4 linked regions of the Oryctolagus cuniculus genome follow. The protein of the gene in region 4 binds, or shares a complex with, the protein of the main gene of each other region. Links are inferred from orthologs where the notes say so. Each region holds a gene or a part of one and is shown on either strand. Other genes may lie near its edges.

Region 1 (5,342 bases), about 31 Mb from region 4:
CCTGCACCCGTGTGGGAGACCCAGAAGAAGCTTCTGGCTCCTGGCTTCAGATTGGTCCAGCTCTGGCTGTTGCAGCCAATTTGGGAGTGAACCAGCAGATGGAAGACCTCTCTCTCTCTGCCCCTCCTTTTCTCTGTGTGTAACTCTGACTTCAAATAAATAAATCATAAAAAAAAAAAAGAAAAGAAGGGCAGAAGGAAGGGGGGGGGGTGGAGAGACTCCTCTCTCAGTCCTCACTCACATTTCCAGCTCTCAATCTCCTTCCCTACGGCCCAACTTCTTCCAAAGAGCTGCCTTTGCTATTTGAGGGGTTGTCAAACCATTCATGGGAAAGGAATTAAAGATGGGTTCAAAGTTGGATGCAAAAGCAATTTGAAAGGCAGTTCGACTGTCCTGTCCTTCCTTGCTGTCTTTGTCTGCTTGGACCGCTGTGAAACCATGGATGGGAGCACCTGTCAGCCGCAGACCTGGAGGCGGGGCGGTGGGCTGAAGGTGCCCACTCAGGGGTGATTTCCTAGGGGAGACCTTCCTGGAGGTCACTGCCGGCACTAGCTATCATCACTGTGTATGTCAGCGTGTGATGGTAGCGGTCTATTTTCCTAGAATGTGGGTGCACAGGAGCAGAGGTGTATGCATTTTTGTCACCTTTGTAAGCCCAGCATCTGGCAAAGCACAAATGCTCAGTGAACGAGGATTTACAGAGCACCAAGGGTTGGCCGTGGTGATGCGCTGCGCTATGACTCCTGGGAGTGCTTGGGGTTGAGTTCCACCTCTGCTGCAGATCTGGCTTCCTGCTGATGCACCTGGGAGGCAGCAGGTGATGGCTCATGCTCTTCACGGCACGAAGGCAGCCCATCCCCGGCTGAGTCTGGGCTGAGTCTAGGCCTGCCCCATGGAGGAGGACGGCCCTGAAATCAGAGAGAAGCTGAATAAACCACACCCGTCCTGGCACTTAGGGGCCAGGTGTGTGGGCACCGCCTGACTGCTGGGCAAGCTACAGGGAAGGGGGAAGGACGCAGACTCGGCCCAAACGGAACCCGGGCCACGCAGAAGGGGGTGGAGGGGTGGGAAGGCGGCTGCGCCCCCTCCTCTGCAGGAGCCCCCCAGGGCGCAAGGGCCGCCCTCCCCCGGCCCCTGCTTCCCAGTCTGCGGGCTTGACCCGCGGGACCCCCACACCGCCAGGATGGTGGAGCGACGGCAATCTTCGGCAAGAAGCACCGGAGACAAGTGTCGGTGAACTCATCCTCTGTATTAACGACCATGCACACCTTTTAAAGGGCAGGCAGAAGGGGCGTAACTAATTCAGGGCAACACTAGTTCTATAGGAGAGAACCGACATGGGCACCTCTATGCTTCTCCAATCGGCTTGAGGGTCTCGTAGCTGGGATAGCTTTCCAGGTGGTCCTAATGGGCCCGGGCCGCACCCAGGAGCTGTTTACTTGATTGGCAATTACAGGACCCTACAGGGAGTGGGGGGAGTGCCTGGGGCTCCCACCGCCTGCCAGCCAGCAGTCAGGTTGTGGGGGCCCTCCCGGCAGGCATGGTGTGCCATGCCTCTCAGCCTCCTGCATGGGTAGGGCAGGCAGACTCCCCGCCAGGTACAGGATCCCCCACACACACCAAGGACCAAGCCAGGAAGCTTCCCTCATGTTCCAGATGGGAAGACCAGGTAAGAGGCGGGGGCAAAGCTGGGCTGAGGCTGACGAGGGAGCCCCAGGGCCATGGGGGCTGGGAGCTGGGAACCAAGTTCTCTGCCCAGCCCAGCCCAGGCCGATCCCTGAGCACGGTTTGCTCATCAGCCTCCACCCCCGCCGGGGGTCGCGGGGCCAGGCCAGGCGAGGAGCCACTGGCGTCACTGGGCACAGAGCCCTGCTCCACGTCCAGGAAGCCTGGTCCCCCCGGGTGGGATTTACGAGTGGCTGCCGCGCCTCTGGCCCCGTGCAATAAATCAGGACCCTGCGGGACGGTGAGCATGCCTCGTGCCGGTGTATAAAGGAAGAAGGACCAGGGAGCCCCAGGCTGCAGTGGAGCCAGCGTGAGCGAGCTCGGCCCCGGGAGCAGAATGCCTCGCTGGGGACTCCTGCTGGTACTCTGGGGCTCCTGCACCTTGGGTCTCCCCGCCGACACCAGCGCCTTCAGAAGGTAACTCGGGCAGGGAAGGGGCGGCAGGGACTTGGAGGCTCCCACCTTCCTGGCACCCGGTCAGCTATGTGGTGCCGATTCGTCCTCATGACCAGCTGGGCAAGGAGGTGTAGTCCTGTTCAGAGAGGGCAAGCAGCTTGCCCAGTGTCACACAGCTCGGCAGCCATGCCTTCTGGACCCTACCTGGGGCACGGGGGAGTGGGGCGGAGCTCAGAGATGATTGAGATGTGTTTCTGGCCCTCCCCCACCCCCGAGCTCACAGCCTGGTGTTAGGAAGGGCGTGAGGGATGGGTAGTGTAAACTCTGCCAGGGAAGCAGGCTAAATGCACACCTTGCAAAGGTGGCCCATCTGGTTCAAATTCTGCTCTACCTCTGGAACCCTGCACATGCTACTTAACCTCGTCAAGTCTCCGTTTGCCATTTTTAAAATTTATATTTAGGGGCCAGCACTGTGGCATAGCAGGCGAAGCACCTTCCTGAGTTGCCAGCATCCCATATGGGCACCAGTTTGAGTCCCGGCTGCTCTACTTCTGATTCCAGCTCCCTGTTAATGGCCTGGGGAAGGCAGTGGAAGATGGCCCAAGTCCTTGGGCCCCTGCACCCATGTGGGAGACCTGAAGAAGCTCCTGGCTTCGGATCTGCCAGCTCTGGCTATTGTGGCCATTTGGGGAGTGAACCAGCAGATGGAAGACCCCCTCTCTGTCTCCTTCTCTCTTTCTGTAACTCTGCCTCTCAAGTAAATAAATAGATCTTTTTTAAAAAAAAATCTATTTTGAAAGGCAAGGTGATGGGAGGAGAGAGAGAAGAGAGAGATCTTTCATCCACTGGTTCACCCCTCAAATGCCCATGGAGTCAGGGCTGGGCCAGGCTGAAGCTAGAAACTCTATCCGGGACTCCCAGATGGGCAGCAGGAGCCCAAGGACTTGGGCCATCATCTGCTGCCTTCCAGGCCATTAGCATGGAGTTGGATCGAAAGCAGAGCAGCTGGGACTTGAACCTGCACTTCAATAGGGAACTTAGGCATCCCAAGGGCTGGCTTAACCCGCTGTGCCACAGTGCCTGCCTGCAGCTGGAGGAATTGTGCTGCCCGCCCTGTGCAGAGTGGAGAAGGCACTTGGGGAGGTCTGAATCGATGTGCTGCGTTCTCAAGGTGCTGTCGCTGCCATACACCCCAGGACTCACAGGGACTGCGCAGGGGGCAGCGGGCTTGGGCTGCAGAGTTGTGCTGGGGTAGACACCACCGTTAGACCCATTTTCATAGGGAAGCAAATGAGGGTCTTAAAAGGCCCAGAGAGGTTAGGCAGCTTGCTTAGAGTCACACAGGGGTTTCAAGCTCTGTGTGCTTCCCCACCATATGGCACTGCCTCCCTGGGCTGGTGGGGAACACCAGTGTGGACCGAGTCTTTGGGGGCAAGCTTCTAGGTCTCCCACATGGGTGCAGGAGCCCAAGGGCTTGGGCCATCTTCTACTACCTTCCTAGTCACACTAGCAGGGAGCTGGATTGGAAGTGGAGCAGCCGGGACTCGAATCGGCACCTGTACGGGATGCCAGCATCAAAGGGCGGTGCTTAACCTGCTGGGCCACAGTGCCGGCCCCAGCAAGGTTCCGGAGGCAGGGGTGTGTGCTGAACTTTGAAGAGTGAAGAACTGGGAGACAGAAGGGGTTTCCCGAAAGGGGAGTGGCAGCAAAGCCAAGGCGCTCAGCAGAGGATGTTTGGAGTGGAGTCAGAGCCTCTTCTGGGCTTAATAAAATCACCCACCCCATGGGATGAGTGAGGATCAAAGGAAACGCCACCTGTGAAGCCAGCTCGTGACCTGTACACCGTGAGAGGACAGTTCCAGCACAACCTCTGGGGATAGGCACGCAGGCGGCACTCACGTTCATGGGCCGGCGCGGCGGGGGCAGGAGACGTGAGTGCAGGGTGCACCCGCCAAAGGAGGAGGGACTCTGTGTATAGGAAAATCTACTGCCAGGTTAAGTGGGGATTCAGTCCTGGGACCTCCTGGCCAAGGCTGGAGATGGCTTCCTCCAGGCTTTGGCAAGCAGCCTCCACGTCCGCACCCCGGGGGATCCTCTGGGAAAGATAGCCAGCCACGTGCGTCAGCCCCCTGCTCCCCTGTTCCTGAGTCTCCTCCCGTAGAGCATGGGATAAGGACGCTAGTTTGCAGAGCTGCTGCTGTGTGGCTGGCCTGGGTGAGTGTGCACAGTTCTACATCCCTATCTGGCACCAGCTCACCATGCTCCAGACCCCTAAGTCTCTAACTGCCTCCCAAAGGGGATGGGGAGGTGTCTGGACAAGAAGCCCAGGGACAGAGACTTAGGCCCAAGACACATCTTCCCGAGGACAAGGTGCACGGGCACCCTGCCTGGCCTGATGCTGTGGGTCTGCTCCACTCCAGCCCGTCTGGGTGCCAGCTCCCAGGTGTCCTACCGACCCTGCAGAGTGCTTTGTGTATCTGCTGCCACCTAGAGGCCACACATGGCACTGCCTCCCTCCTTTCGGCTTGAGGGATGCTGGCCCCAGCGGGAATGGCGAGCTGTGGCTGCCTGTTTCCTTGTCTGTCTCCTGCCTGGTGGGCTTCCTTGAAGGCAGCAAGGATCTTTACCTATCTCCAGGACCCTGCATAATGCGGCTCAGAGCAGGTGTTCAATGCGTGATTATGGGATGAGTGAGCAAATAAATGGGCCATCACACAGATGGCCTCATCTAATCAAATTTAGACAACAGGGAGAGGTTAGCCAAGGATTATCTAGCACCAGGACCGGTGGCTCACAGAAGGCCCTAGGCTGGGACGTGACCCCATGGCGCCCAGGCTGAGGTCCGCGGTGGGCTGAGACTGCGGCAGTCCCGGGGGCCAGTACAGAGTTCTGTTTCTGCTTCCTCCTCCCTGGGCCAGGATCCTCCTCAAGAAAATGCCCTCAGTCCGGGACATCCTGCAGGAGCGAGGTGTGGACATGGCCAGGCTGGGTGCCGAGTGGAGCCGGTTCACCAAGAGGCTCTCCCTGGCCAATGGCACCACCCCTGTGGTCCTCACCAACTACCTGGACGTGAGTGCCTGTCCCGCCGGGTCCCACCCCTACCCCCAAGTCCCCTTCTCTCTTGGCCCCAAGGTTTCCTTTGCCAGCAAGGCCCACTCTTCCCAAGCTGCGTTTCACCGAGGAGCCGAGGAATTGGGTTCCACCGAAGCACCCCACGGAAT
Region 2 (4,641 bases), on a different chromosome or scaffold from region 4:
AAACCTCAAGCTCCCGGATGTCCCCTCCCGCACCTGTCAGTCACAGGTGGGCGGAACTCAGCTCTGTGGCTCAGCTGAGAATTGGGCTCAGTCACAATACCGCAGGGGCTCAGATCCGAGCGCGTGTGCAAAAGCTCACGGGACAGTGGGATGAAAAAGAGAAGTTCATTTTGGTGCAGAAATTTCCTTAAGTCATATATACAGGAGGTCTTTAAAAAGCTCAGGAAAAGGGGGAATTACGAAAAATGATGGCTCTTAACATCCTTTGCACCAAAATAAACTTATTTCATTCCATTTTCCTATGAGCTATGAGTCTTGAAAAAAACTATTTTATTTGAAACACACGCGCACACGCACAAACACACACACACACACAGACCTCCCATCCACTGGTTCACTCCCTAAATTCCCCTAATAGCTGGAGCTGAGCCAGGCCAAAGCCAGGAGTCTGGACTGCATCAGGGTCTCCCACATGGGTGGCAGGGACCCCAGCACTTGGGCCATCACCTGCTGCTTCCCCGGGGTGGGGCACCGCAGCAAGGAGCCGGACCCCCCCCCAGGCACTGGTGGGGAGTGCAGGTTTTGAAGTCCCCTCTCCTTTTATGATTTGAGTTCCTGGGGGGGGGGGGCGGAACGGCATCGGGGCAAGCAGGTCACAGACTTGGAACTTCCTCCACCAAAGCACCTCGCTCACCACGATTGGCTGTAGATCCTTAATTTTACTTTTTTTTTTTTTTCATAAAAAAATTACCTCCTCAAGCACGCTCTGATGGCCCCGTAACATCCCATCACACGGGGGTGCTACCTTAGCCTAACCAATCCCCAGCTGTTGGACACCCCAGTGTTTCCTGGGTTTCTTGTCTGTTTCATGTCTTTGTCAACAGCGCTGCCAGGAACACCCTACCCACTTAACCTCAGCCACAACAAGCTGGCTTCCCTCCCATAAAATTCATCCAGCGCCTCCCCCGGCAGGGAGGGGCCTGCTCCCTGGGCCGAGACGGGGAGGTGGCCAGGCCACACAGCTGTGCAAGGACAGGTCTTCTGTGGCCACCTCCCCTGCACAGGGGCCTTTTCTGGGCCTGCCCAAAGCATTCTCTTCCCGCATTTCAAAGTGGCAAACTCTGCCGCAAGCCGCAGGCGTGCCGTTCCGCCCCGCTCTGCATTAACCACTGCACCTGCTCAGTCCCGTCTCCCTCCACCTCTGCGACCTCTCCCTCCCGCCCCCCTCCATCAGGCCTGCGCTCAGGAAAGGACTTGACCAGGAAATCTTCCCGGCAGCTCCCGATGCTGGGCGCGTGGACACCCTGGGACCCCACCGGGCGGTGCCATACCTTCATGGGGCCCCTACCTTCATGGGGCCGTAGACCTCGGAGCGGTCGAACATGAGCTTGAAGTAGTTCAGGCTGCTCAGGGCCGCCTGCCAGGGCATGTACTCGGTCTCTCGGATCAGGAAGAGGGTGTTATCTAGCGCCAGTGTGACGGGGACTTTTTGGGCACTGGGAAAAAAAAAAAACAGAGGCGCTCAAGTAAGCACGGCCCCCAGCTCAGCCACAGCTGGAAACCCAGTCCAAGCTCTCAAGAATGGGCCTTCCAGGAGCCCGAGGTCCCAGCGAGCCAGCATTTGCCATGGGGAATGCAGCAACCAGGGCCCTCGCTCATTGTACCCATTTTACAGATGAGAAGACCGAGGCTCAAAGAAGTGACCTGACTGTCCCAAGGCCACTCAGCTCACAAGAAAAAGGCTCTGCTATGAACTCCACCCACCCCCTTTCACTTGCGAGCCGAGTGGCATCTGTGAAGTGGGTGTGCTGGGACCGAGGGAGGGAGCCCGGGGAGCCTGCTGCCCTGAGAGGGAACCTGCCGTCACCTGGCCAGGTTGAAGGCGTCGTGGATTATCTGCGCCCGGTTGATGACAGGGATGACCTGCAAGGGAAGCGGAGTGTGTGAGCTCGGGCTGGCCACGGGAGCAAGCGTGCGGCCCTGCAGTCCCGCGGCGCGTCCTGGCGCAGGGGCCACCCACCGAGGGGTTGGTCTGCAGCTGCGTCTGAAGCTTCTTCCAGTTGCCTTCATCGTAGTTCACCTGGTAATACCCCGTCACGTTGAGGTTCGCAAGGATCCAGTTGTTGTCGCCTTCCACTCTAAACAGGGAGTTCTGGGCTGTGGGAGGGACCAGAGCTTTGGAGCAAGGGGCTGCTCAGGCAGCCATGGCCTCCTCTCCGGGCTGCGTTAGCCTGGCTAATGCCCATTCTTCCTGACTAGCTCACCTCCTCCAGGAAGCCTTCCCTGACTACTCTGTGAAACGCAAGTTCCTTCATTCCCAGCCCCCTACCCCAGTAGCCCAATCACAGGCGCTGGATGCTGTTCACTGCTCTCTCCCTCCCTCTCACTGCCAGCCTGGGCCCAGACAGAGTTATTTGGCTGTGACCTTCACTCCCTCATGCCTGGCAGGGTGGGACTGTTGCAACCCTGTGCCAGCCTGTGCCTGAAGACTTTTCTATGGCTTCTCCCCTTTAACCCTCACCCAGCCCAGTGTTCTCAGCCCCATTTCACGGATGCTGACATGGCGAGCAGAGAGGGATGGTAGTTTGCCCAGGGTCACACAGCCGGGCAGCAGCAAAGCAGAGGCTGGGACCCTCCCCATGCCCGCACAGCCCCCAGCACGCAGCTGGGAGTGTGGGGCGAGCATCACCCATGAGCACAGGGTAGGGTTACTTTGCTCGACGCCTTCCAGCCAGAATTCCTGCTGCTGCATGCCGTTCCGCATGGACGAGACAGGAACAATCCACAGATAGCTGCAACCAGAGACCGGCAGCGGGCGGTGAGCGCCTGCCCACAGTCTCAGACACCAGGCTTGGCCCCCGGCACCCTGCATGCTCACTTGAAGTCTGACGGGCGAGTGACATTGGACGTGGGGTCCAAGAGGAAGTGATGCTGGGAGATGACCCCGTTGGTTGTGTTCACGGTGACGACCGGGAAGCCCATCTGCAGGATCCAGCGGTCCATGATGTCGCGCACAGAGGCGGGCAGCTGGATCGCCGACTGGCTGTTCACAGCCTGCAGCAGAGCAAAGTGCAAGGCTGTCCCCACCTGCCTGGGGCAGTCCCGGGGGTCCTGGTGGGGAGGCAGCAGCCAGGGTCCTGCTGCAGCTATGCAGGGAGCAGGCCTGAGGGAGGGAGGGGGCAGGGGAGGGGAGGCCGGGCTGGAGATGGCCAGGATGGACCCGGGGCCTGGACAAGACCCTGGCTGCCCCTTGCAGGTGGGACTGGCCATGGGGACTGGCAGGGCAGTGGCCACGGGGAGCAGGGAGTGGAAGGGGGCAGCTGGACTGGAATCTAGTGTTGTGGGGGATGGGTTCTTGCACTGAAAGAGGCCACGACCTCAGCTAAGGAGGCTGGTGTCGGATGGGGGGGCCCACAGGGGAGAGTGTGGACTCCAGCCCCAAGTGGGGCGGGGTCAGGCGGGGTGGCTGCAAGGGCAGACAGGCAGGCGGGTGGGCGTGGTGGGCAAAGGGTTTGGCCACAGACAGGAGCTGGATGGGGCACAGGGCAGCCAGGAGTGCTGAGTCGGGCAAAGACTGGCTCCAAAGTTCTGGGTAGGGGAGGAGGATCCAGGCTCAGGAAGCCCCGGGACTGTGTCCTCCCCACTAAGAGGAAGCTCCTGTCCCTGGAGCCATCAGCACACCCATTGCACAGACAAGCAACCAGGGCTCTCCGGGGCCTGCCCCAGCTGGAAACAGCAGAGCCCAGCACCTTCTCTTACCTGTGCTGCCCCCAGCACTCAGGACAGCCCCCTCACCGCACCCCCGGCTGAAGTCCTCGGGGGCTGGCTGTTACCCACCTGCTGCAGGTGCTCCCACAGGTCCAGGTAGATGGTGTTCTGGTACGCAAAAGTGTGCAGGTAGGACTGTGGGAAGACAGACCGTGTGAGTGCCAAGCTTGGGGTGGGCGGAGAGCCAAGAGAGCCACCCCCAGGTCTGGCCAGGGAATCTGTGCTCACCGCCAGGCCCTCCTTGAACAGGTCCTCGGTCAGGAAGCTGGACAGCATCCTAAGGACAGAGGCGCCCTGCGGAGGCAGCCAGGGAGGGGATGAGGAGGCTGTGGGAGGACCAGGGTGCTGTCCCGCCCGCTGTGCCCCATCTCCCTCCCCGAGCCCATGACCGTGGCAGGGCCGGGGCAGCACCTTGCTGTAGGTGATGGAGTCGAAGAGCTCGCTGATCTGGGCGGGTGTGTTGACCTCGTCGGCGGGGGAGGACAGAGGGTGGGAGGAGGCCAGGGCGTCCACGGCCATCACCGAGTGCAGTTCGTTCAGCACTATGAGGTCTTTCTGCACAATAATCCACCACCTCGGCCATCAGCAGTCTGGCCTGGCGGGTGGGCGTGGTTCCTCCACCTGCCGGCCCCAGCCCCCACCCCCGGAGGTGCAGCTGGCTCACCAGATTCCAGGTGGGCTCTGCGTAGTCAGCACCCAGGTACTCCACGTAGGAGGCGAAGCCTTCGTTCAGCCACAGGTCATTCCACCAGTCCACGGTCACCAGGTTCCCAAACCACTGCCAGAGAAGGGAGTCAGCCCCAAAGCCACGCGCTTCCCCGAGTGGCTGGGACAGCACTGGCCCTGCCCTTGGCCTAGCAGCCACCGGTCCAG
Region 3 (4,641 bases), on a different chromosome or scaffold from region 4:
CTGCAGAAGGTGGTGGAGCACCTGGAGAAAGCCAAGGTGGGGCTGGCTGGGGGCTGGGGACCCCTCTGCCCGGCACAGGGGGCCTGGGGCGCGTGTGTGGATGGCCTGCGGCTCACAGACGCGGCTCACCCCCAGGCGTATGCAGCCAACAGCCACCAGGAGCAGATGCTGGCCCAGTACGTGGAAAGCTTCACCCAGGGCTCCATCGAGGCCCACAAGAGGGGCTCCCGCTTCTGGATCCAGGACAAAGGCCCCATCGTGGAGAGGTGAGGCCCCCGCCTCCCGCCCCGCCCGCCCCGCCCGCCCCTGCTGCATCTGGGCCCTTCTCTCCCCCAGTTACATCGGGTTCATCGAGAGCTACCGCGACCCCTTTGGTTCCCGAGGAGAGTTTGAAGGTAACTTTTGCGGGGAGCGGGGCTCAGATTCCTTTTGTTCCTGTCTGAGCTCAGGCTCCCAGAATCCCCTGAGGGCTCCCCGACCCCCTTCCCCGGGCAGTAATTGTCACAGCAACAGGCGTGGCAGATGTTGTTGACTTTACGAGCCACGTCGGTGTCCCAGGTACAGTCTCGCAAAGCTGACCTCTGCAGGCGTGGGAGCTGGGGCGCAAGTGGCAGGTGGCGGAGCCCCAGCGCCCCGGCCCTGAGCCACTGTGCTGTGCTGCCTCTGGTGTCCGTGTGGTCAGGGCCCAGACTCGCCGCACACGGACGCAGGTTCCCAGCCAGGCCTTGCCCCGTGGGTGTGTGGCCCCAGGCCAAGTAGCCCTAGCTCTGAGGTGAAGTGAGATGCAGTCACCGACGCTCAGTGGCTGGACGTGTGATTGATGCCATGGCTGTGGCTAGTCATCCCGTCCCTGGTGGCAGGCTGCCTGACCCCTGTCCCTCGGTCCCCACGTCCTGTGGGACCCAGTTGTGCGAGGCAGGGGGCCCATCGTGTGCAGTCAGTTTGTCTCCACACACCCTTGCCTTGTCCCACCATGGATGCATTGTGAGCTTCTGGCTGCCCAGGCTGAAGAGGTGGGCCTGGGAGAGGAATCCCAGCCCTCAGACCAGGCCCAGGGGCCCGAGGGAGGGAGGGCCATCCACCTGCAGCTTTCCTGCCCAGGGCCTGATCCAGCAGGACCCGGGCTTGGGTCATTGCTGTCTGACCCAGCACAGGGTCACTGCTCCCAGCAGGCATTGAACACATGCGTGATGGTTAGCGGGGTTGAGCAGGGTGAGGCGGGACCCTCCCTTCACCCTGCCAAGCCACAGCTCCCGCCTCCCCTGCAGGCTTCGTGGCCATGGTGAACAAGGCCATGAGTGCCAAATTCGAGCGGCTGGTGGCCAGCGCCGAGCAGCTGCTGAAGGAGCTGCCCTGGCCGCCCGCCTTCGAGAAGGACAAGTTCCTCACCCCTGACTTCACCTCCCTGGATGTCCTCACCTTCGCCGGCTCCGGCATCCCTGCCGGCATCAACATCCCCAACTGTGAGCTCCCCCAGCATTTCCCGAGCCCGGGCGGTGGGAGGGTGGGGGCGGGGCACCACTGGGAACTGCCCCTCTCCGACGGATACCCTGGCCGCAAACCACCCTGCTCAGTGCGTCCTGCCAGCCCTTTCTCTTGTTTGTGACCCTTGACCTCTGCCCCTTCACCCTTGGTCACACTCCCTGTGTTCTCCAGACGATGACCTGAGACAGACCGAAGGCTTCAAGAACGTGTCACTGGGGAACGTGCTGGCCGTGGCCTACACCACGCAGCGGGAGAAGCTCACCTTCCTGGAGGAGGACGACAAGGTGGGCACGCCAGGGTCAGGCTGGGCCAGGGCCAGGGTCAGGCTGGGCCAGGGCCAGGGTCAGGGCTGGGCCAGGGTCAGGGTCAGGGCTGGGCCAGGGCCAGGGTCAGGGCTGGACCAGGGTCAGGGCTGGGCCAGGGTCAGGCTGTGCCAGGGTCAGGCTGGGCCAGGGCCAGAGTCAGGGCTGGACCAGGGTCAGGGCTGTGCCAGGGCCAGGGTCAGGGCTGGGCCAGGGTCAGGGCTGGGCCAGGGCCAGGGTCAGGGCTGTGCCAGGGTCAGGGCTGGGCCAGGGTCAGAGTCAAGGCTGGGCCAGGGCCAGGGTCAGGGTCAGGGCTTGGCCAGGGCCAGGGTTAGGGCTGGGCCAGGGTCAGGGCTGGGCCAGGGCCAGGGTCAGGGCTGGGCCAGGGTCAGGGCTGGGTCAGGCTGGCCTCAGGGTCAGGGTCAGGGTCAGGCTGGGCCAGGGCCAGAGTCAGGGCTGGACCAGGGTCAGGGCTGGGCCAGGGTCAGGGCTAGGCCAGGGCCAGGGTCAGGGCTGGGCCAGGGTCAGGGCTGGGCCAGGGCCGGGCCAGGGCCAGGGCCAGGGCTGGCCAGGGCCAGGGTCAGGGCTGGGCCAGGGCCAGGGTCAGGGTTAAGGCTGGGCCAGGGCCAGGGTCAGGGTCAGGGCTTGGCCAGGGCCAGGGTTAGGGCTGGGCCAGGGTCAGGGCTGGGCCAGGGCCAGGGTCAGGGCTGGGCCAGGGTCAGGGCTGGGTCAGGCTGGCCTCAGGGTCAGGGTCAGGGTCAGGGCAGGGCCAGGGTCAGGGTCAGGGCTGGGCCAGGCTGGCCTCAGGGTCAGGGCAGGGCCAGGGTCAGGTTCAGGGCTGGGCCAGGCTGGCCTCAGGGTCAGGGCTGGACCAGGGTCAGGGCAGGGCCAGGGTCAGGTTCAGGGCTGGGCCAGGGTCAGGGTCAGGCCTCAGGGTGGACGGCCCGGAACCTTCAGGAGGAGCAAGCGCAGCTTCGGTTCCTGCCGCACCACTATCCCGCGGGACCGTGTGCCACTTTGGAGCCTCAGTTTCCCCGCTGGTCACACAAAGGAGGCGGTCCCTCCCGCGTCCCTCCCCAGTGGCGGCTGGGATGGGGGGCCTGCCCCAGGCAGGCGCGCCGTGTCGGGCCCCGGGTCCGGGCTGAGTGGCCGTGGTGGGACGGCAGACAGCGGGCCCCTGCATGTCTCGGCAGGACCTGTACCTCCGCTGGAAGGGGCCCTCCTTCGACGTGCAGGTGGGGTTGCACGAGCTGCTGGGCCACGGCAGCGGCAAGCTCTTTGTGCAGGTAAGAGGCAGCGCCCGCGCGGGCCTTCCCCTGCCCCCCCCCCCCACCCAGGGTGGAGCTGCTCCGGGTCTGCCCTCTGGGGGCTTTGGGTTGGTGGAGAAATGACCCCTGAAGCAGGGAAGACCCCGCCCTGCCCTCCCCCGCGACGTCCCAGGGCTCGGACGACTCCGTGGGTGCACGGGGGCAGCCTGGGGGCAGCTCAGCCTGCGCCAGGGTCGCTCTGCTCAGGCTGCAGCAGCCCCGGGGTGCAGGCTGCGAAGAGGCAGGCCCTGGATGCTCCCGTCCTGAGGCTGCGGCCCCGGCTGCCCGCCACTGCTGTCCCCCTGGGCCACAGAGGTTTTGGATACCCTAGGGAGCCACCTCCCCCAGAGCAGCCGCTTCCTGCTGGCTGGCCTGAGCACCCGGAGCCCTTTGAACACCACTCGGGAGCAGCAGGCCGAGTGGAGCTGCACAGAGGAGACGAAACGGGGCAGCGCGGCGACGGCCGGCTTCGGCGTGGGCCCTCCGGGAGACAGGCTGCGTCCCTGGACGGGGGAGCTGGCTGGGAAAGTCAGGGGGCGCTTGTCCAGCCTGTGGCCTTGGGAAAGGCCGTTCCTGTCCTAGGCCCCAGTAAAACAGGGTTCCTGGCCCTTCTGCCCGTGGCCTGTCGAGGCTGGACAGCCAAGGTGGGCGGGTAGTGAGCCCTGGCACACAGCAGGCCCCCTGCACATGGCTGTCCGTGTTGGAGACGCTGTGCATGGCGTCTGGGGGCTCTCAGCGTCCGAGCCTCAGTTTCTTCATCAGAGAAGTGGGAGAATAACAGCCTTCCCTGGAGGGTGGTTGTGAGGATTAAATGGGTGACGGGTGAAGGTGCCAGGCGCGCGGCCGGTCTGCGGGTCTGAGGCCTCTTCCAGCAGTGCCGGGGAGCAGCCAGGAGAGAGAGACCTCCCATCTTCTGGTTCATAGCCTTCTGTCTCTGGTTCACTCTCCAAATGCCTGCAACGGCCAGGGCTGGGCTGGGCCAAAGCCAGGAGCCTGGAACCCAATCCAGGTCTCCCACGTGGGTTGGCAGGGGCCCACGTATTTGAGCCACCACTTGCTCCTTCCCAGCGTGCCCATTAGTGGGAAGCTGCACTTGGAGGCAGAGCCGGGGCTTGAACCGGGCACTCCATTGTGGGAGTGGGTGTCCCACAGGGCATCTTGACTGCTATGCCGAATGCCTGGCCAGGTTTGGGTCTGGGGGTGACTCAGGCAGCTCCCTCCCTGTCTGGCCATCCGTTTCCCTCTGTGCTGTGGACAGGTAGCTGGCTCTTCCACTCCACAGGACTCAGGTTTGCGAGCATCTGTCTGCTCGCTGCTCCTGGCCCCCCCTTCCCGAGCCGCTTCTCGGACCCAGGCTGTCAGGGCTGAATGCCTGGACTGTGCTGGGGCCCCTTTCTCTCACTCACCCCCCGTACGTGTCCCTTCTGCAGGATGAGAAGGGGGCACTGAACTTTGACCGGGAGACAGTGATCAACCCCGAGACAGGGGAGCAGGTGAGGGCGGCCAGGGTGTTGGGAGGTGGGCGTGGTGGGGCCAGGGCCACGCTT
Region 4 (5,322 bases):
GTAGAAAGAGGCCAGAGTGCCGAAGAGAGCCACCGGGGAGAGGACAGCCCCGCTGGGGTCACTCCACGTCTCGCTCAGGGTCCTGTACATGCGCAGGCCCAGGACGTCCACCAGCATCCCGACCTTCGCAGCTCGCAGCCTGTCTTCATCCCCCAGCTTCTCGGCGGCCAGCACCAGCTGGTCGTGCAGGGCTGCCTCATCCACGGGGGACGTCTTGGCCTGAATGGGGACGGGTGTGAAGGTCGGCTCTTTGGGCGTCTCCACGTCGGCTTTCTCCAGCTGCTCACAGCTGGTCTTGCTGTAGAAGAGGAGGTGGAAGGGGTGGATGTACACCCGGTCACCCGCGGCCAGGCCAGCCCAGGCCAAGAGGCAAACGATGGTGGCTCCCAGGCCCATGCCGGCAGGAGTCATCTCCGATCAAGGTGCCCGCTTCTGTGTAGCCTGAAATATCATTTGGTGAAGGGTGAAAGGTGATTATTAAGCCGTCATTAAGTGTCCTCTAGCCAGACTTTGAGTTGTCGCACTGTTTCCTGCAACTATTTAGCCTGGGAGAAACCCACCTGTGTCTGCAATGAAAGGAGAGAAGAAGCAAGAGCAGAGCTCCTTGGAAAACATTCACGTACTCCAAGTGCAGCCCCTCCTCCTCGGCCGCTCCTGCACACAGACCCTGGTGTGGGTCCCCCGGGAACAATGCTATGGGTCTCAAGGCAGAGGTGGTTGTTTGCTGCCTCGTGTGATCTGTGAGCTGGGCGGGGGCAGCAGGGAGCCTGAGTTGTGTCCCCCATAGTCTCTGTTGAAGGCCTAACCCACAGCCCTGCAGCCTGGGACTATGTTTGGAGACAGGGTCTAACAGAGGTGATGAAGGGAAAATGAGGCACAGGCTGGGCCCTGACCCGGGCTCACCGGTGATCCTGTGGGAAGAGGTGGCAAACCAGTACAGAGGCACACAGAGGGAAGAATGCGGAGGCAGGGAGAAGACGGCCGTCAGCTAGCCAAGGAGACAGATCTCAGGGCACAGCTGTGCTCTTGAGGCTTCCAGCCTCCGGAACTGTGAACAAAGAACTGTGTCTCGTCGAAGCTGCCCAGGCAGCTCAGTTGAAACACACGCTTGCCTGTGGCCAGAAGTCTGCTCTAAAGAATCAAGTGTGTAAAAAAAAAATTTCCCCGCACCTGCCAAGGGTACCCTTTCACGCCCTGTGTCTTCACCCCAATAAAACCATCACAAAATGCTAAAAAAAAAAAAAAAAAAAAAGAATCAAGTATGTGCCAGCCAGGCAGTCTCTGTGGAGCCTCCTGGCTCCAAATGGCCTTGTGGTGTGGCCTGGGAAGGAGGGTTTAGTTTCCCTGTGGTCCTAACATGAAAAAGAATTAAGCAGCCCAAGTTCAGCTGAAGCCAGGCATTGCCCACCTGTCTCAGCCCCGAAACAAGCTCTCAGCTGTGCCTGCGTCACGTTACCCCCCACAGCGCTCCAGCCCCATTCACCAGGAGTCTGCCTCGTGGGTCTGAGCTGGGGCTGGGTACAGGATTTTTCCTAACTGCTCATTGACTGATGCGTAGCCAGGGTTTGAACCCCACAGGTGCTCCGTCCCCCTTCTCTCACCAAATGCCCACCAGAGCACAAAGGAGCTAGCCTGAGATCCTGGACAAGGAGGTCTGGGGCTGGCCTGCTAATTTATTTGGCCTGACTGTTCTCTATCAAAGGCAAGCAAGTTCTATTGGTTCATCCAGTTCCCACGGTTTCTACTGCATCTCGCCCATTTCTGGCAGTAGGGGTATCCCGTACAGCCATGTCACTGCTTGGGCCTCACTCGCCCCGCCCCCTCGGCGCCTGCAGGGCTGTGGGCAGTCACATCCTGGACAATTTCCCTGCCTCACCTGTGCGTTCTGGGCCGCCGTCTTACCTTGCTCCTCTGCTGGGATGCGCTGCCCTCAGCACAGCACGTTCAACTAAGGTGTGTGCTGTCTTTGGTTCTGCTCTAGTCATCCGATCACCACGGGAACTTTGACCCCTGACCTCAGCCACCACCTCCCCCTCCTCCTCTGCATTTGACTTTGTTGACAGTTCCCGCAAAAAGCCACACAGCGAGGACAAATGGGACCCAAGACTCTGCCCCCTTCTTGCAGGCCTTCCTGTGAGCCCACATTGCCAGTTCCTTCCCAATCCAGACACGAAACTGAATCCAACGGACAGGAGAACCCCTGGGGACCCACCCTGCCTTGCACTTACAAGGGTAAGTGCAGCCCCTCCTCTTCTGCTGCTCCTGAACCCAAGCAGAAACGATAGAAAATTCTACGGCTCTCAAGGCAGAGGTGGTTGTTTGCTGCCTCCTGTGATCTGCGAGCTGGGCTAAGTGAGGACAGAGGGGCGCTCGGACGTGGCGGGCTGACGCCCCCTCCCTGGGCTCCTTCACCCCCAACCTCACCCCTCCTGGCCCTGCCTCTTCACCAGCCTGGAGACCTCTTCTGCAGCCCGTGGCCAAGTGCTCACAAGGACACCGCTCACCTGCGCTTCTCTGAATTCCTCTCCCTCCTGCACTGCTGTCCCCCAGGCAGGCTCCCCAGCTCCCTTGTGTTTACCCCATTCTGTGCTTTGATCTGTTTTCTTATTTCTATTGTGCTCCTATGTACATCACGTTCTGTTTTGTGCACCCGCGGGTGCACACTCGAGGGCAGCCTTGCTCTTCACCCGCGTGGGGAGAGAACCTGGTAGACTCTTGGCCACAGTGACTCTGGGGCTGTGTCTGTGCCCTCCACCCCCGAGGACCCCAGCAATGCTCAGAGGAAGCAGGAGGACCCGGCCACCCTGCCCTTTCCATCCTCTGGTGACACCCAGCATGGCAGCTGAGGGACAGGTGGCCCATGTCTGGGTGTCTGTCTTATGATGAGGCACCATCACCTGTGTCCCTTCCTGGGTCCCGAAGGCCATTTTAGCTACCCTGGCTGAGAGGGCCCTGGCTTACCTGCTGCGTCCGTCCCCAGAGCCAGCCCAGCCTCTTCTCCCGGCTGGCCTCCCAGGAGGCCCTCTTTATACCCGAGGGGCGGACATGGAGCAGTTCCCAGGCTGCTCCGTGTGCAGGCTGGAGAGGGGATTGCACCACTTGGCCAGCCTGCTGGGGTGGGGGTGGGGGTGGGAGCCACAGGCAGCCAAGCCTGGCCATGACTCTCACACTGGGCGGTTTCCAGGAAGTTCTAGTGATCGATGCTGTTGCCCTGCTGCACAGAATGAGCTGGGACAGCGCTGAGTTACCCATTTACTGGACTTCACAGGAGCTGTCTCTTACCAGGTGCAGGAGCCTCCCCTGGGATGTGCTTCTGTGAGACCACAGGACCTGCAGCGGTGGGGGTGGGGACTAGGCAGGGAGAAGAGCTGTACTCAGGGGACCCAACAGCTGCTTCTTTCTGTTAAAAAAAAATCAGTTTACTTTCATTGTATATGAAAGGCAGAGATACAGAGAAAGGGAGACATACAGAAACAGATGGGGAGATATCTCACATCTGTTGGTATACTCCACTAGTGTGTGTAACAGCCAGGGCTGGTCAGACCAAAGCCAGGAGCCGAGAACTTATTTGTTTTTTTTGTTTGTGTATTTGTTTTAACAAGCAGAGTTAGACAGTGAGAGAGAGATACAGAGAGAAAGGTCTTGCTTCCGTTGGTTCACCCCTCAAATGGCCACCATGGCTGGTGCACCGCACCGATCCGAAGCCAGGAGCCAGGTGCTTCTCCTGGTCTCCCATGCAGGTGCAGGGCTCAAGCACGTGGGCCATCCTCTACTGCCTTCCCGGGCCACAGCAGAGAGCTGGACTGGAAGAGGAGCAACCAGGACAGAATCTGGCGCCCCAACCGGGACTAGAACCCGGGGTACCGGCACCGCAAGCAGAGGATTAGCCTAGTGAACTGCGGTGCCGGCCCGAGGAGCCAAGAACTTAGTGTGTGTTTCCTACATGGGTGGCAGCAACCCAGCCGCTGCCTCCCAGGGTGCACATTAGCAGGAAGCTGGAATGGAGAGCGGAGCCAGGACCTGAACCCAGGCACTCCGCCATGGGATGCGAGTGTTACTAGCGGCAGCTTAACCACTGTGCCAAATGCCTATCCCTGGGGCTGCTCCTGCGCCTGCTGCCTGCTCGTGGGCTGTGTGGCCTTGAGCAGCCCCAAAAGGCCACTCAGGCACCTATGTAGTGCAGGGGCCTCTTATAGGCTCTGGGAGATGCACCCAAGTGAGTGAAAAGCACCTTCCGAGAGCTCCTCCCTTAGCCGGGGAAAGTGTAAAATACCAAGAGTGGTGCGAGCAGACTGAAGGGCACAGACAAAATGCCTTTGGCACGTGGCGTAGTGCAGGCTGTTAAAGCTGTGGGAGGTTCCCGGGCGTGTGGCGCTGGGGTCAGGCCTGCCACGGTGGGTTGAAGAAGGCTTTCTGAAAGAAGAGCTGGCTGTGACATGAACAGAGGTGGAAAAGCGCGCAGATGGTTGGGGAACACAGTCAGGCTCAGGTGCTGGAAGGCAGAACCGTGGTCACCGCAGCCTGGCCAATTGCTGCTGCTGCCCGCACCTGCCAGCCACAGACCACGATAAAGCTTATGTGGTCACCGCAGTCTTTCCTGCCCGGGACCCAGAGCTGCAGGCCAGCCTCCAGGGATCTGGAGTGGACACACAAGAGGAAAGCTGCCAACCATCCAGATCCAAGGGGTGAGAAGTGAGCAGACTAGGAAGGGAGGCCAGCTGGCACTGGGTAACAGAAGCTCTTGGACTTCATGCTCAGGAGGAGGAATCCATGTCACCAGGGAGGGACTGAGGAGTCTGGGCAGTGGCCTGAGGGAGTGACGTGCTGCTGGATCTCTCCTTTATTTATTATTTATTTATTTATTTGAAAGACAGAGTTGCAGAGAGGCAGAGAGAGAGAGAGAGAGAGGTCTTCCATCTGCTGGTTCACTCCCCAGACGGTTGCAACGGCTGGAGCTGCGCAGATCCGAAGCCAGGAGCCAGGAGCTTCTTCCAGGTCTCCCATGCGGGTGCAGGGGCCCAAGGGCTTGGGCCATCTTCTACTGCTATCCCAGGCCATAGCAGAGAGCTGGACCAGAAGAGGAACAGCCAGGATTCAAACCGGTGCCCATATGGGATGCCGGCGCTTCAGGCCAGGGCTTTAACCCACTGCACCACAGCGCCGGTCCCTGGATCTCTCCTTTAAAAACTGTTCTCAGAAGGATCCGGTGAGAGGCAGGCTGTGCTGAAGTCATCAAGGCTCCAGCCTCGGGGCACATGGAGAACAGCGAAGTCAATAGCCAAGCAGGCATGGGAAGCATGAGAGCTGTGGGAACAGAGGCGA

The links.
Region 1: the proteins of AGT (region 4) and REN are in contact, whole or in part, in a crystal structure (PDB 6I3F), measured with the Homo sapiens proteins. The link is inferred for Oryctolagus cuniculus from reciprocal best matches to the Homo sapiens genes AGT and REN. Residues at the interface, in NP_001369746.2 of Homo sapiens: Asp25, Tyr28, Ile29, His30, Pro31, Phe32, His33, Leu34, Val35, Ile36, His37, Asn38, Glu39, Lys91, Leu92, Ala95, Met96, Met99, Leu100, Phe103, Arg107, Arg148, Ala151, Ile152, Gly154, Gln353, Gln354, Asn355, Asn358, Glu391; in NP_000528.1 of Homo sapiens: Tyr81, Met82, Thr84, Gln85, Val102, Asp104, Gly106, Ser107, Asn109, Ser118, Arg119, Leu120, Tyr121, Thr122, Val125, Tyr126, Leu147, Arg148, Tyr149, Ser150, Pro181, Ala182, Leu183, Pro184, Met186, Leu187, Ala188, Glu189, Phe190, Val193.
Region 2: the proteins of AGT (region 4) and ANPEP are in contact, whole or in part, in a crystal structure (PDB 4FYS), measured with the Homo sapiens proteins. The link is inferred for Oryctolagus cuniculus from reciprocal best matches to the Homo sapiens genes AGT and ANPEP. Residues at the interface, in NP_001369746.2 of Homo sapiens: Val27, Tyr28, Ile29, His30, Pro31, Phe32; in NP_001141.2 of Homo sapiens: Gln211, Gln213, Ala351, Gly352, Ala353, Met354, Glu355, Arg381, Val385, His388, Glu389, His392, Glu411, Glu418, Asn438, Arg442, Phe472, Tyr477, Ile864, Phe896, Ser897, Asn900, Gln903, Ala904, Arg907.
Region 3: the proteins of AGT (region 4) and DPP3 are in contact, whole or in part, in a crystal structure (PDB 5E2Q), measured with the Homo sapiens proteins. The link is inferred for Oryctolagus cuniculus from reciprocal best matches to the Homo sapiens genes AGT and DPP3. Residues at the interface, in NP_001369746.2 of Homo sapiens: Asp25, Arg26, Val27, Tyr28, Ile29, His30, Pro31, Phe32; in NP_005691.2 of Homo sapiens: Phe109, Glu316, Tyr318, Glu329, Phe381, Gly385, Ile386, Pro387, Ala388, Gly389, Ile390, Asn391, Ile392, Asn394, Arg399, Val412, Leu413, Val415, Ala416, Phe443, Val447, His450, His455, Glu507, Glu508, Asn545, Arg548, Leu552, Glu555, Phe556.

What each region holds. Positions count from the first base shown.
Region 1 is NC_091444.1:19,655,188-19,660,529, reverse strand, and holds the start of REN (renin), read left to right. Parts: upstream 1-1,988; 5' UTR 1,989-2,062; coding exon 2,063-2,142; intron 2,143-5,039; coding exon 5,040-5,190; intron 5,191-5,342. UniProt on the Homo sapiens protein: Renin is a highly specific endopeptidase, whose only known function is to generate angiotensin I from angiotensinogen in the plasma, initiating a cascade of reactions that produce an elevation of blood pressure and increased sodium retention by the kidney.
Region 2 is NC_091443.1:99,843,963-99,848,603, forward strand, and holds part of ANPEP (aminopeptidase N), read right to left. Parts: intron 4,547-4,641; coding exon 4,433-4,546; intron 4,324-4,432; coding exon 4,180-4,323; intron 4,063-4,179; coding exon 3,997-4,062; intron 3,904-3,996; coding exon 3,838-3,903; intron 3,055-3,837; coding exon 2,879-3,054; intron 2,793-2,878; coding exon 2,713-2,792; intron 2,158-2,712; coding exon 2,021-2,157; intron 1,924-2,020; coding exon 1,868-1,923; intron 1,497-1,867; coding exon 1,349-1,496; intron 1-1,348. UniProt on the Homo sapiens protein: Broad specificity aminopeptidase which plays a role in the final digestion of peptides generated from hydrolysis of proteins by gastric and pancreatic proteases.
Region 3 is NC_091432.1:5,400,916-5,405,556, reverse strand, and holds part of DPP3 (dipeptidyl peptidase 3), read left to right. Parts: coding exon 1-36; intron 37-135; coding exon 136-266; intron 267-336; coding exon 337-395; intron 396-1,268; coding exon 1,269-1,463; intron 1,464-1,656; coding exon 1,657-1,769; intron 1,770-2,980; coding exon 2,981-3,073; intron 3,074-4,524; coding exon 4,525-4,587; intron 4,588-4,641. UniProt on the Homo sapiens protein: Cleaves and degrades bioactive peptides, including angiotensin, Leu-enkephalin and Met-enkephalin. Also cleaves Arg-Arg-beta-naphthylamide (in vitro).
Region 4 is NC_091444.1:50,286,809-50,292,130, forward strand, and holds the start of AGT (angiotensinogen), read right to left. Parts: upstream 3,118-5,322; 5' UTR 2,962-3,117; intron 2,233-2,961; exon of another isoform or gene 1,903-2,232; intron 1,040-1,902; exon of another isoform or gene 904-1,039; intron 442-903; 5' UTR 412-441; coding exon 1-411. UniProt on the Homo sapiens protein: Essential component of the renin-angiotensin system (RAS), a potent regulator of blood pressure, body fluid and electrolyte homeostasis.